Saccharomyces cerevisiae S288C: one gene and its partners. Each later gene encodes a partner of the first gene's protein in a complex. Each region holds a gene or a part of one and is shown on either strand. Other genes may lie near its edges. A codon is read from its position in the direction of its gene.

Region 1 (3,464 bases):
TGGAAGACAGTCGAGAGCAAGCCATTGGCTTGGACTTGCGCTTGGACCTATCTTTCGGACCAACTATTTAATGATTAGTAAGACAAAAATGACATTTAAGCATCTATAAAATAAGAAAAATAAAAAAATGAAGGGAAAAAGCTAAACACTAACTTCTTGACCAAACAAACAAGGAAAAGCCAGTAATTGCGTGAACAAAAGGCACCTGCAATTGTTCTGATGGATGTACTTTGTCCAACCTATTCTGCAAGAAAAAGAAATCAACTCCAAAGAAGTATGGAGCTTACTGGCACTCTAGCCTCCAAAAGCTGTTAAAGTGTTCATTCGATTGTCAAAAATCTTCCCCATAATAATCACCCACCTCAACAAAATACTTCCACTTAATTATTGATCGATTAGAGCTAGCGTCAGTGATTATATGCTAGTCCGAAAGGACAGCCCCATGACAGCGGCCGCGCAGACGCCTAGGGGGGAAATAAGGGGTGACAATACCAATGAGTATAAAGGCAGAAAGAAGAGAAACAGAAGCACGGGGGTTTCGTTTGGTCTTCAAATATATGTTAGGTCGGTACCTTTTCATTGCAAAATTGAAAAGATTTGAGCGTGTAAAAGTAAAAAAATACATGATGGGTTCCCAAGATTTAGCTAGTTTAATTGGGAGGTTTAAATACGTCAGGGTGTTAGATTCGAACCCTCATACAAAGGTAATCTCACTACTAGGCAGCATAGATGGGAAGGATGCCGTGTTAACTGCTGAAAAGACGCATTTCATATTTGATGAAACGGTACGTAGACCCTCTCAAAGTGGCCGTAGCACTCCGATTTTCTTTCATCGTGAAATAGACGAGTACTCCTTTTTAAACGGTATTACTGATCTGAAGGAATTAACTTCGAATGACATCTACTACTGGGGGTTGTCTGTTTTGAAGCAGCATATTTTGCATAACCCAACTGCGAAGGTTAACTTAATTTGGCCCGCCTCGCAGTTCCACATCAAGGGATACGACCAGCAGGATTTACATGTCGTCAGAGAAACTCCTGATATGTATAGAAACATAGTTGTGCCCTTTATCCAAGAGATGTGTACCAGCGAAAGAATGAAATGGGTAAACAACATTCTTTACGAGGGCGCCGAGGATGATAGAGTTGTTTATAAGGAATACAGTAGCAGGAATAAAGAGGATGGATTCGTCATCTTGCCCGATATGAAGTGGGACGGAATCAACATTGATTCGTTATACCTGGTCGCGATCGTGTACAGGGACGACATCAAATCTTTGAGAGATTTGAACCCAAACCATAGAGATTGGTTAATTAGACTCAATAAGAAGATTAAGACCATCATCCCCCAGCACTATGACTATAATGTAAACCCGGACGAGCTAAGAGTTTTCATTCATTATCAACCTTCATATTACCATTTTCATGTCCATATAGTGAATATAAGGCATCCAGGAGTAGGCGAGGAGAGAGGCTCCGGAATGACAATACTGTTGGAAGATGTTATAGAAGCGTTGGGTTTCTTAGGTCCTGAAGGTTATATGAAGAAGACGCTTACTTATGTCATTGGTGAAAATCATGATTTATGGAAAAAGGGCTTTAAGGAAGAAGTTGAAAAGCAACTGAAGCATGATGGTATCGCAACCAGTCCTGAAAAAGGCTCTGGGTTCAATACCAATTTGGGTTGAAGGTAGAAGAGCAGCACTATTTTTTCATGTGCTGAACTTCAGGAAGCGCCGGCTTATATAAATGTCTTATTTAAATGTTTGTGTATACATCTCAATGGATTTTGAATTTTAACATAGAATGCGAATGCACAGTAACATAGTACATTCAGTTGCTATTTTCCGTATAAGCTTTCTTTCCCTTATAGCATACATAGCCTTTGACGTATTGCCAGCCTTTTCAAAGAAATGCGAAAAAATAGTGCATTACCACCTACGTAAGGTAGGCTGGAGAAAAAGATAAACTTTTGCATTCTCTGCTCACCATACCGCGAAGGAAAGTAGTTATAACGTGTCCCGTTTTCAACAAGGTTTTCTGGTATATTGTTAACGGTGGAGAAAGCATCTAGTATCAATTACTTCCAGAGTACACACAACGAATGTTATGTCTGTCCAAGATACTAAAGCGGTAGAGTTTTCTATGGGTCACATCAGATCATCCTCTGTATCCCTGGTAGCAGAGGCTACTTCAAACACGAATAGTGAAGACAAATTATCTAAGGTCCAACTCTACGAAGATTTGTGCCGGTACGAGGATACATTGAGTAAGTTGGTGGAATCTGTAGATCGTTTCAAACCAAACCTTGATATTGCCAAGGATTTGATCAGAACTGATGAGGCCTTGTTTGAAAACGTCAAACTGTTAGCTGAATATGACAATATCTACCGCAACTTACAGAAGATTGACAAAGACTCTGAAGAACTAGATTCTAAAACCAGGAAGATATTGGAAATTCTAAATGAATGTCATGACGAGTTAAAAGCACTACCGATGCTTGAACAAGTAGAGTTCGAGAAAAACACAATTTTACAGCAAAGATCGAAAATCAATTCGACAGAGTTGTTGGATTATGCCACCAAACTCTCCAAGTTTACCAAAATACCACCAACGTTCGACAAGGGAGCTGTGGGACCCAACAATTTTATATGGCCCGCAGAGGATGCCCTACGAAGAGGAATGCTTGCTATGGCCTCATTACATAGTAAAGAGCTAACTAGAATACCCGGTGAAGAAGTAGAAGAAACAGAAGTACCGACCGTACCGCCATCTCAAAGTGAAGAACAAAAAGGGCAGATGGCCAAGAAAGAAGGTACACCAAAGACAGACTCGTTTATATTTGATGGTACTGCTAAAGAAGTTGGTGATGAGGCAGACAATACCAAAGATAAAGAAAAGGAAGAAAATAATGATGATGCCCTAGATCTTGATCTTGATCTGTTTGATCCGGACGACTTCTAGTTGCAGTGTCTTGAATCTCTTCCTCGTTAGGAATGAAGAAAAAAAAAAGTTAGACAATAATTCGTGTAGGTAAAAGCGTATATAAAATTACATATATAATTTACTGCAATATGTCAAAGTGTATGAAAAACATTTGAAAGTAAGTTCCCACAGGAACTGGAAAATAAGACAACAAGACTGTGACTTCCACACGCATCTGTCGTTTTTGGCCATCTACTCTTCCTTTTTTGAAATAGGCTTTGGTGAGTAACCACTAAAACTCATTTTTCTCACACGTTCACCTGATCCACTTGCAGCGTTAGAAAATTCCTGCTTGAATCTTTCAAAAGCTTTAGAAAGGTTTTCCTCTTCTATTTCAAGACCATTTTTATTTCTCCATTCTTTGTAATCTTTGCAGAAATCTTCCCAATCTTCCTTAGCATTGTCCCACTTTTCTAACTCAATTGGTGGAATACCTAAGTTCATTTCTTCTTCTTCTGCTGTCTTTCCCTTTTCATGTT
Region 2 (2,547 bases), on another chromosome or scaffold:
TGCTTCACCGTACAACCCTGCCGGAATTAACGTTACTATTGTGGAAATGAAACACCAGCCAGATCGATTTGATATACGTGGTGGAGCAAAAAGCGCCGAACACGTAGACATCCTCGGCAGCGCGGAGTTGAACGATTACATCTTGAAAATTGCAAGCGGTAATGGCGATCTCGTCGAGCCACGCCAATTGTCTAATTTGAGCCAGTGGGTTTCTCAGATGCCCTTCCCAATGTAAATGACCGACATTGACTCACTATCCATCCGTGTATTATTTCAAAGAGCGAAAAGAAGGCGCGTCGCGTCGACGCGCCTTTTTAGGCTAGAAAATAAACAGAAAACAAAAACAAAAACAAAAAAAGGCGAAAAAACAAACGAAAAAACAAACGACAGTAGATAGAGGAGAAGGTTTTTGACAGGTTTGTGTAATTGGTTATTTGCTTTTATAGATTATATATACACAAACTTAAAACACTGTTTTCTAAGTAGGCTGCGGAGAGGGCCAATTGCAGCAGCGACGTACGCATAGAGGAAAAACAACCGTTCATGTCCATTATGAAGCAGAGGCTACCACTGGGGGAGTTTTCCAGCTCGAAGATCAACAAACTGGCAATTGCCAATATTGCAGACGCTAGCGAGCCTAGAAACCATGGAGAAAACAACGTCGGGACTGTGTGTCTTCCCTCTATCAAGAGTTTGATGGTTAGTCCTGAAGTATACGAAAACACGAAGAGTCTTCCTGTTCCCCTAATGAGGAGCAGTGGCGGAGGTATGGCTTGTGCCAGTAAGTCCTCATGCCAGGATGGTATTAGTACGAAAACAACGTCTAGAGATTACTCTGAGCTTTCCAAGAAGTTGCAAATTCGTTTACAGTTCGCCTATTATAAATACAAGACTAAGCAAACAGACAAAAATTTCACAGACTTGAAATCAAAGCATAGCATTACGAGGCCTTCCAAAGTCGCGACTCACAGTAAATCAGAACCTTTAACTAGGAGAAGAAAATTAGTACTATCTCAGGGTCATTATAAAACCCCTGCTAGGTCTAAGATCAAAACTCCATCTTCGATTTGCTCTCACGATAATACATCTTCCTTTACATCTTTCCGCGGTGTCAGCGAAAGCTCGAGCACTACCGCAGATATGAACGTCGCAGATACCACCACACCAATACGCAACAACATAAACACAAAGCATTCAAACAGTCATAATCGCACATTGTATCAGAGACAAGAAACACCTACAAGCATCAAAGCCGCTAAGTCTTTAATTCATCTCTTTACAAGTAACCAATAATCCCACCCCCAATATTTCTATCTTTCATTTTCATTCTCCTTCATTGTGTATATAATAATATTATTGTCTTCGTATATCTTCCACATTACCTTTTCACTTCCGCTTTAGTTCTGTACGTATAATTAGATAGAATATCATATAAAACCTGATTTTATTAGTATCGATTGCAATTCTACTGCGGCCATTAACTGTAACCGAATTGAAGAAAATAAAAGAAAAAAAGAGAACATGCATAAATGGGAAAAAGAAGGCGAAGCATACCAGCATCTACCAGAGAGACACGAGCACTGAAAGTCGCCATAAAATGAATCTACAGAACAACGTTTTAAATCAGATACACCAGATTCTGCTGCCTACGAATCCTACTCTCGATAAACCTAATGCTGAGGCTACAAAGGAAGAATTTTCGTCTGCAGAAAATAGAGATGAAAAAGACTATCTTACCAACCAGCAGCCGAAAAATCTGAGTACTCCCTCCACCAGTTCCAACGGTGAATTTATACCGCATATTTTTTATTCGCTGCACCAAATAAGGAAGGATCCAAACAATCTCTCAAATCAATTGGAAACCTTAACAGGTTCGATTAGACATCGTTTGAAACTTTGTAAATCTTTGATATCGGAAAACGAAGATACCAAGGATTTATTAAGTAAAAGTCCATCAGAATGGCAGGATATCATCCATCAACGTGAACAAGAACTGCAAATTAAGAGAGACGTCTTGGATGATCTTTATCGCAAGTTACAACGATAAAATCTATGCTATCTATCTTTAGTCTATATATATATATATATATACATACGCATACCACATCTTCAAACGTGCATATAGAATGGAGCCTGCGTTTCTAGCAATACACATACACCTGTCAAAAAACCTTCACCGCCTCCCCCTATTTGTTTTATCGTCAATTAAATCTTTAAAGATTTGTGGAACCATGTCTATCAACCATTCTTCCTTAGGGATAACTAGACAGTCCCTGATAAATTCCTTCGACGTTAGCATCAATTGTTGATAAAGCACATATTTGCTTGGTCTCTGCGCCTTTTCCTTATGATTAACGAAAAGTATACTGGTAGGATGAACACTAACGTTCAGCCCACCTGATGACCTACCCATGGTTTGATAGCCGGTGGGGCCTAATTGTACAATATTCATCGGAAACCCGCTGATGAAGCATCGAGTTATTCTAGCATTTATGTAGCCCGCTATATTGCCTATCTTCATCCTGGCTTGGTCGTTCTTTTCAACTA
Region 3 (3,136 bases), 590 kb from region 1:
ACCATTGGTAGGAGTTAACTCCGTAAAAATCAACGCTATTCTCTGGCTTATCATCATCTTTACACTCCAAATATTCGGACAGTGATACCCTATAGTTCAGGTCATCTGCAGCAGAGTAACCTACCGGAATTGTTCTGGGCGAGTGTGCGCTTATGTAATTCTTCATAGTTCCAATCAACTCCTTGACATAGGCAGGAGAATATTGTGCTGATCTTTTGTCGTTTACAATTTCATTCCCAGCAAAAAATCCTAAAGTATTATTGTAATGAGAAAATTGTTCGACAACCTTGAAAACGTGTTCTAAATAAACTTCATTATAGGTAGTCCAAGGTTCATATCTGTTTAAGTGCTGGTTTTGCAATGGGGAATTGACATCCAATATAAGATAGATACCTGCCATTGCGAGCATAGTCATGCACGCATCATGGTTCAGGTCCGGGTTTATAGAATAAATTCTTACTGTGTTTATTCCCAATTCTTGAAATAATAAAATATCACGAGCGCATGCATCTGGATTGGATAACGGATCCTGCTTTTCACTAACGTCGGAAGAGCCTCCTGGCTGATAATCCACACCTTTGATGAAGAATGGTTTTCCAGTCACTGTGTCAACGAAATGCTTGTCCTTAATTTGAATGGTGTGGACTGAAGCTTCACACAGTACAACTAACTCCAAAATTAGAAAAATAAAGGTGCTCGAAAAAACCATCATGCTCACGATTTTGTTCTTTTCTGCTTTATTTGTAGCGTTCGAGGTAAAATATATTTTTTTATTTTAATACTGCTTTACTCAGTATCCTATTATGTGTCGTTTTTTTGTGCCGCTACCTCAGTCTCACCTTACAATACGGAAAAAAAAGACTATTGGCAATTTCTTTACCCAACATAATTACCACTAAATTATTATAAGTGAACTTTTGGCCTAGTGTTTGTGTATATATATTTGTCCTTTGGAAGGGCAGTGATCGTCTTTAAATGTTTTAAACAAAAGAAGTATGTAAAAGCAGCCTGATAATAAATGTGCTCTTAAAGAGTCAAAATACTACTAATTTTTTAGCGGCTATATAGAGGTAGATTATGAACAAGGCTAGGATGATTTTGTTCTGTCACCTTTGTGGATGTCTTATTCCTACCCCGAGTTACTAACGAGATAAACAAAAAGGGTGCATACAACTCGATTATGCTATGTATATAACAAAATTCGACGTGGAAGAGAAAAACATGTATCTACTGCGCCAGTTGACATACTCTAAAAAAAAAGGAACATGCCATAATCCTTCTACCTCGGTATGATTTAAATGTTTACGGGCAATTCATTTTTTCACCTACCGCATCTTGCTAACTGCCAAGGTTGGTTATCTAATGGGCATGCGTCTCTTGTCTTGATCCATTTATTAATACAGTGCAAATGGAAAGCGTGATTACAGACACCCCAGGCTGCTACACATTCATTATCAGTGTCCGTCATGGCCTTTGGCTGGCATTCAATGCATGGTTCCATTATATGGTTCCTGCAAATAGCACAGTTGTCAACAGCTATATCCCATGACCAAAACGCCACTGCGGTCCATTTCTTAATTTCAAATCTCTTCTTTTTGGTTTCCACTGGCGCACTTTGGTTTGAGCTTTGCGCAATATTTTGCGATTCATCTTCATCAACATCCATCCTGTCAACTTCGTTGCTCATGTTGAACTATTTCTCTTTAAAGTTCTCTGCCACTGGAGAAAGACATTTAGTAGCAACCAACATTGCACATATTGAAGCCCATACGTCTATTGTGGGTTTCATGATCTCCCTCTTCACACCTTTAAAAGAAACTATTATCACGAAATACGAAATGTTAGTTAGAACTTAAACAACGAATCTTGCATTTTCAGCAGGCAGGTCATTAGACGTGCAAATATGACATAAAAGAGGTTTCATATCCCAAATTTAAGCTAGTAAAAAAAAAATTCACAAACTAAAAATGTCCAATGATCCTGGTAATGAGGTTAGCTCCTTGTACCCACCTCCACCCCCATACGTGAAGTTTTTCACACAGTCCAATCTGGAAAAATTACCAAAATACAAAGAAAAGAAGGCCGCAAGTGCGAAGCAGACGGCTCCAAATAACAGTAACGGCGGCAGTGAAGAGGAGATTACATGTGCGCTAGATTACCTAATCCCACCCCCCATGCCCAAAAATCAGCAGTACCGAGCGTTTGGGAGTATATGGCAGGTGAAGGACCAACTGCCCGATTTAGAGAGCATGGGACTCACCCAACTTTATAAGAAATCCACAGAAAACGAAAGCACAAATTATCAATACAAAATCCAAGAGCTACGCAAACTATTGAAATCCCTCCTGCTAAATTACTTGGAACTCATCGGCGTATTGAGCATAAATCCGGATATGTATGAGCGCAAAGTGGAGAACATAAGGACCATTCTTGTCAATATTCACCACCTACTTAATGAGTACAGACCCCATCAGTCCCGAGAGTCCCTTATTATGCTATTGGAAGAACAATTAGAATACAAGCGCGGGGAAATTCGCGAGATCGAGCAAGTATGCAAACAGGTACACGACAAACTCACCAGCATACAGGACACCTTAAGAACCGGATCACAATCTCCTCCATCGTCGTCCCAATGACCACACTATTATAAATCATTTGTGTAACTATATACATTTTCAACTACCGTATAGCGTATAGTAGGCACGTGGTAGTCCACCCGTACACCTCCCTCGGAACGGAAAAATACGAACTATAGCTTATCGGAATATATACCAAAAATTAATTGACGTATTTCCGAGATTCCAGGCACAAGTGCCCCACCTTTTCACAGAAATCGCGCACAGATGAGTCTGCAACGGAAATTGTTTTCCTTTTTTTTCTTTTTCTTCTCTGGGCATCTGAATCGATTGATAATGAAAAAAAAGTAGAAAAAGTAAATTGGATTACTCGGTTTTTCGTGTGGAAGATTGGCTTATATAAAAGAAGACGTGCTCTAAACAAAGGTGTTTTCGCTTATTTTGGTGCCACAGCAAACCAACTTATTTGCTTTTTTAGAGGGTGTTAAAAAGTCTGATACGCTCATATACGAGTAACACTAAACCGGAAATACTAGGAGAGCCCAGTACTTATACTTCTT

The links.
Region 2: the proteins of MED4 (region 1) and CSE2 are in contact, whole or in part, in a cryo-EM structure (PDB 7UIG), measured with the Saccharomyces cerevisiae proteins. Residues at the interface, in NP_014817.3 of Saccharomyces cerevisiae: Ser33 (codon at 2,206), Leu37 (codon at 2,218), Lys39 (codon at 2,224), Val40 (codon at 2,227), Gln41 (codon at 2,230), Leu42 (codon at 2,233), Tyr43 (codon at 2,236), Leu46 (codon at 2,245), Tyr49 (codon at 2,254), Glu50 (codon at 2,257), Leu53 (codon at 2,266), Val57 (codon at 2,278), Val60 (codon at 2,287), Asp61 (codon at 2,290), Ile74 (codon at 2,329), Asp77 (codon at 2,338), Leu87 (codon at 2,368), Asp91 (codon at 2,380), Tyr94 (codon at 2,389), Arg95 (codon at 2,392), Leu97 (codon at 2,398), Ile100 (codon at 2,407), Asp101 (codon at 2,410), Asp103 (codon at 2,416), Ser104 (codon at 2,419), Leu107 (codon at 2,428), Asp108 (codon at 2,431); in NP_014407.3 of Saccharomyces cerevisiae: Ile69 (codon at 1,802), Phe70 (codon at 1,805), Leu73 (codon at 1,814), Arg77 (codon at 1,826), Glu88 (codon at 1,859), Thr91 (codon at 1,868), Ile94 (codon at 1,877), Arg95 (codon at 1,880), Leu98 (codon at 1,889), Lys102 (codon at 1,901), Ile105 (codon at 1,910), Glu109 (codon at 1,922), Asp110 (codon at 1,925), Lys112 (codon at 1,931), Asp113 (codon at 1,934), Leu114 (codon at 1,937), Leu115 (codon at 1,940), Glu121 (codon at 1,958), Trp122 (codon at 1,961), Ile125 (codon at 1,970), Ile126 (codon at 1,973), Arg129 (codon at 1,982), Glu132 (codon at 1,991), Lys136 (codon at 2,003), Arg137 (codon at 2,006).
Region 3: MED4 (region 1) and MED7 share a complex: the UniProt entries of both Saccharomyces cerevisiae proteins name them as parts of the mediator complex.

The regions. Positions count from the first base shown.
Region 1 is NC_001147.6:656,638-660,101, forward strand, and holds MED4 (Med4p), read left to right. Parts: upstream 1-2,109; coding exon 2,110-2,964; downstream 2,965-3,464. Other genes in the region: DCS2 (5'-(N(7)-methyl 5'-triphosphoguanosine)-(mRNA) diphosphatase), read left to right, coding at 627-1,688; ALE1 (lysophospholipid acyltransferase), read right to left, coding at 3,178-3,464. UniProt on the Saccharomyces cerevisiae protein: Component of the Mediator complex, a coactivator involved in the regulated transcription of nearly all RNA polymerase II-dependent genes.
Region 2 is NC_001146.8:642,147-644,693, forward strand, and holds CSE2 (Cse2p), read left to right. Parts: upstream 1-1,597; coding exon 1,598-2,047; downstream 2,048-2,547. Other genes in the region: LRO1 (phospholipid:diacylglycerol acyltransferase), read left to right, coding at 1-235; NRM1 (Nrm1p), read left to right, coding at 544-1,293; DEAH-box RNA-dependent ATPase PRP2, read right to left, coding at 2,174-2,547. UniProt on the Saccharomyces cerevisiae protein: Component of the Mediator complex, a coactivator involved in the regulated transcription of nearly all RNA polymerase II-dependent genes.
Region 3 is NC_001147.6:68,876-72,011, reverse strand, and holds MED7 (mediator complex subunit MED7), read left to right. Parts: upstream 1-1,967; coding exon 1,968-2,636; downstream 2,637-3,136. Other genes in the region: GAS4 (1,3-beta-glucanosyltransferase), read right to left, coding at 1-712; SCF ubiquitin ligase complex subunit HRT1, read right to left, coding at 1,322-1,687. UniProt on the Saccharomyces cerevisiae protein: Component of the Mediator complex, a coactivator involved in the regulated transcription of nearly all RNA polymerase II-dependent genes.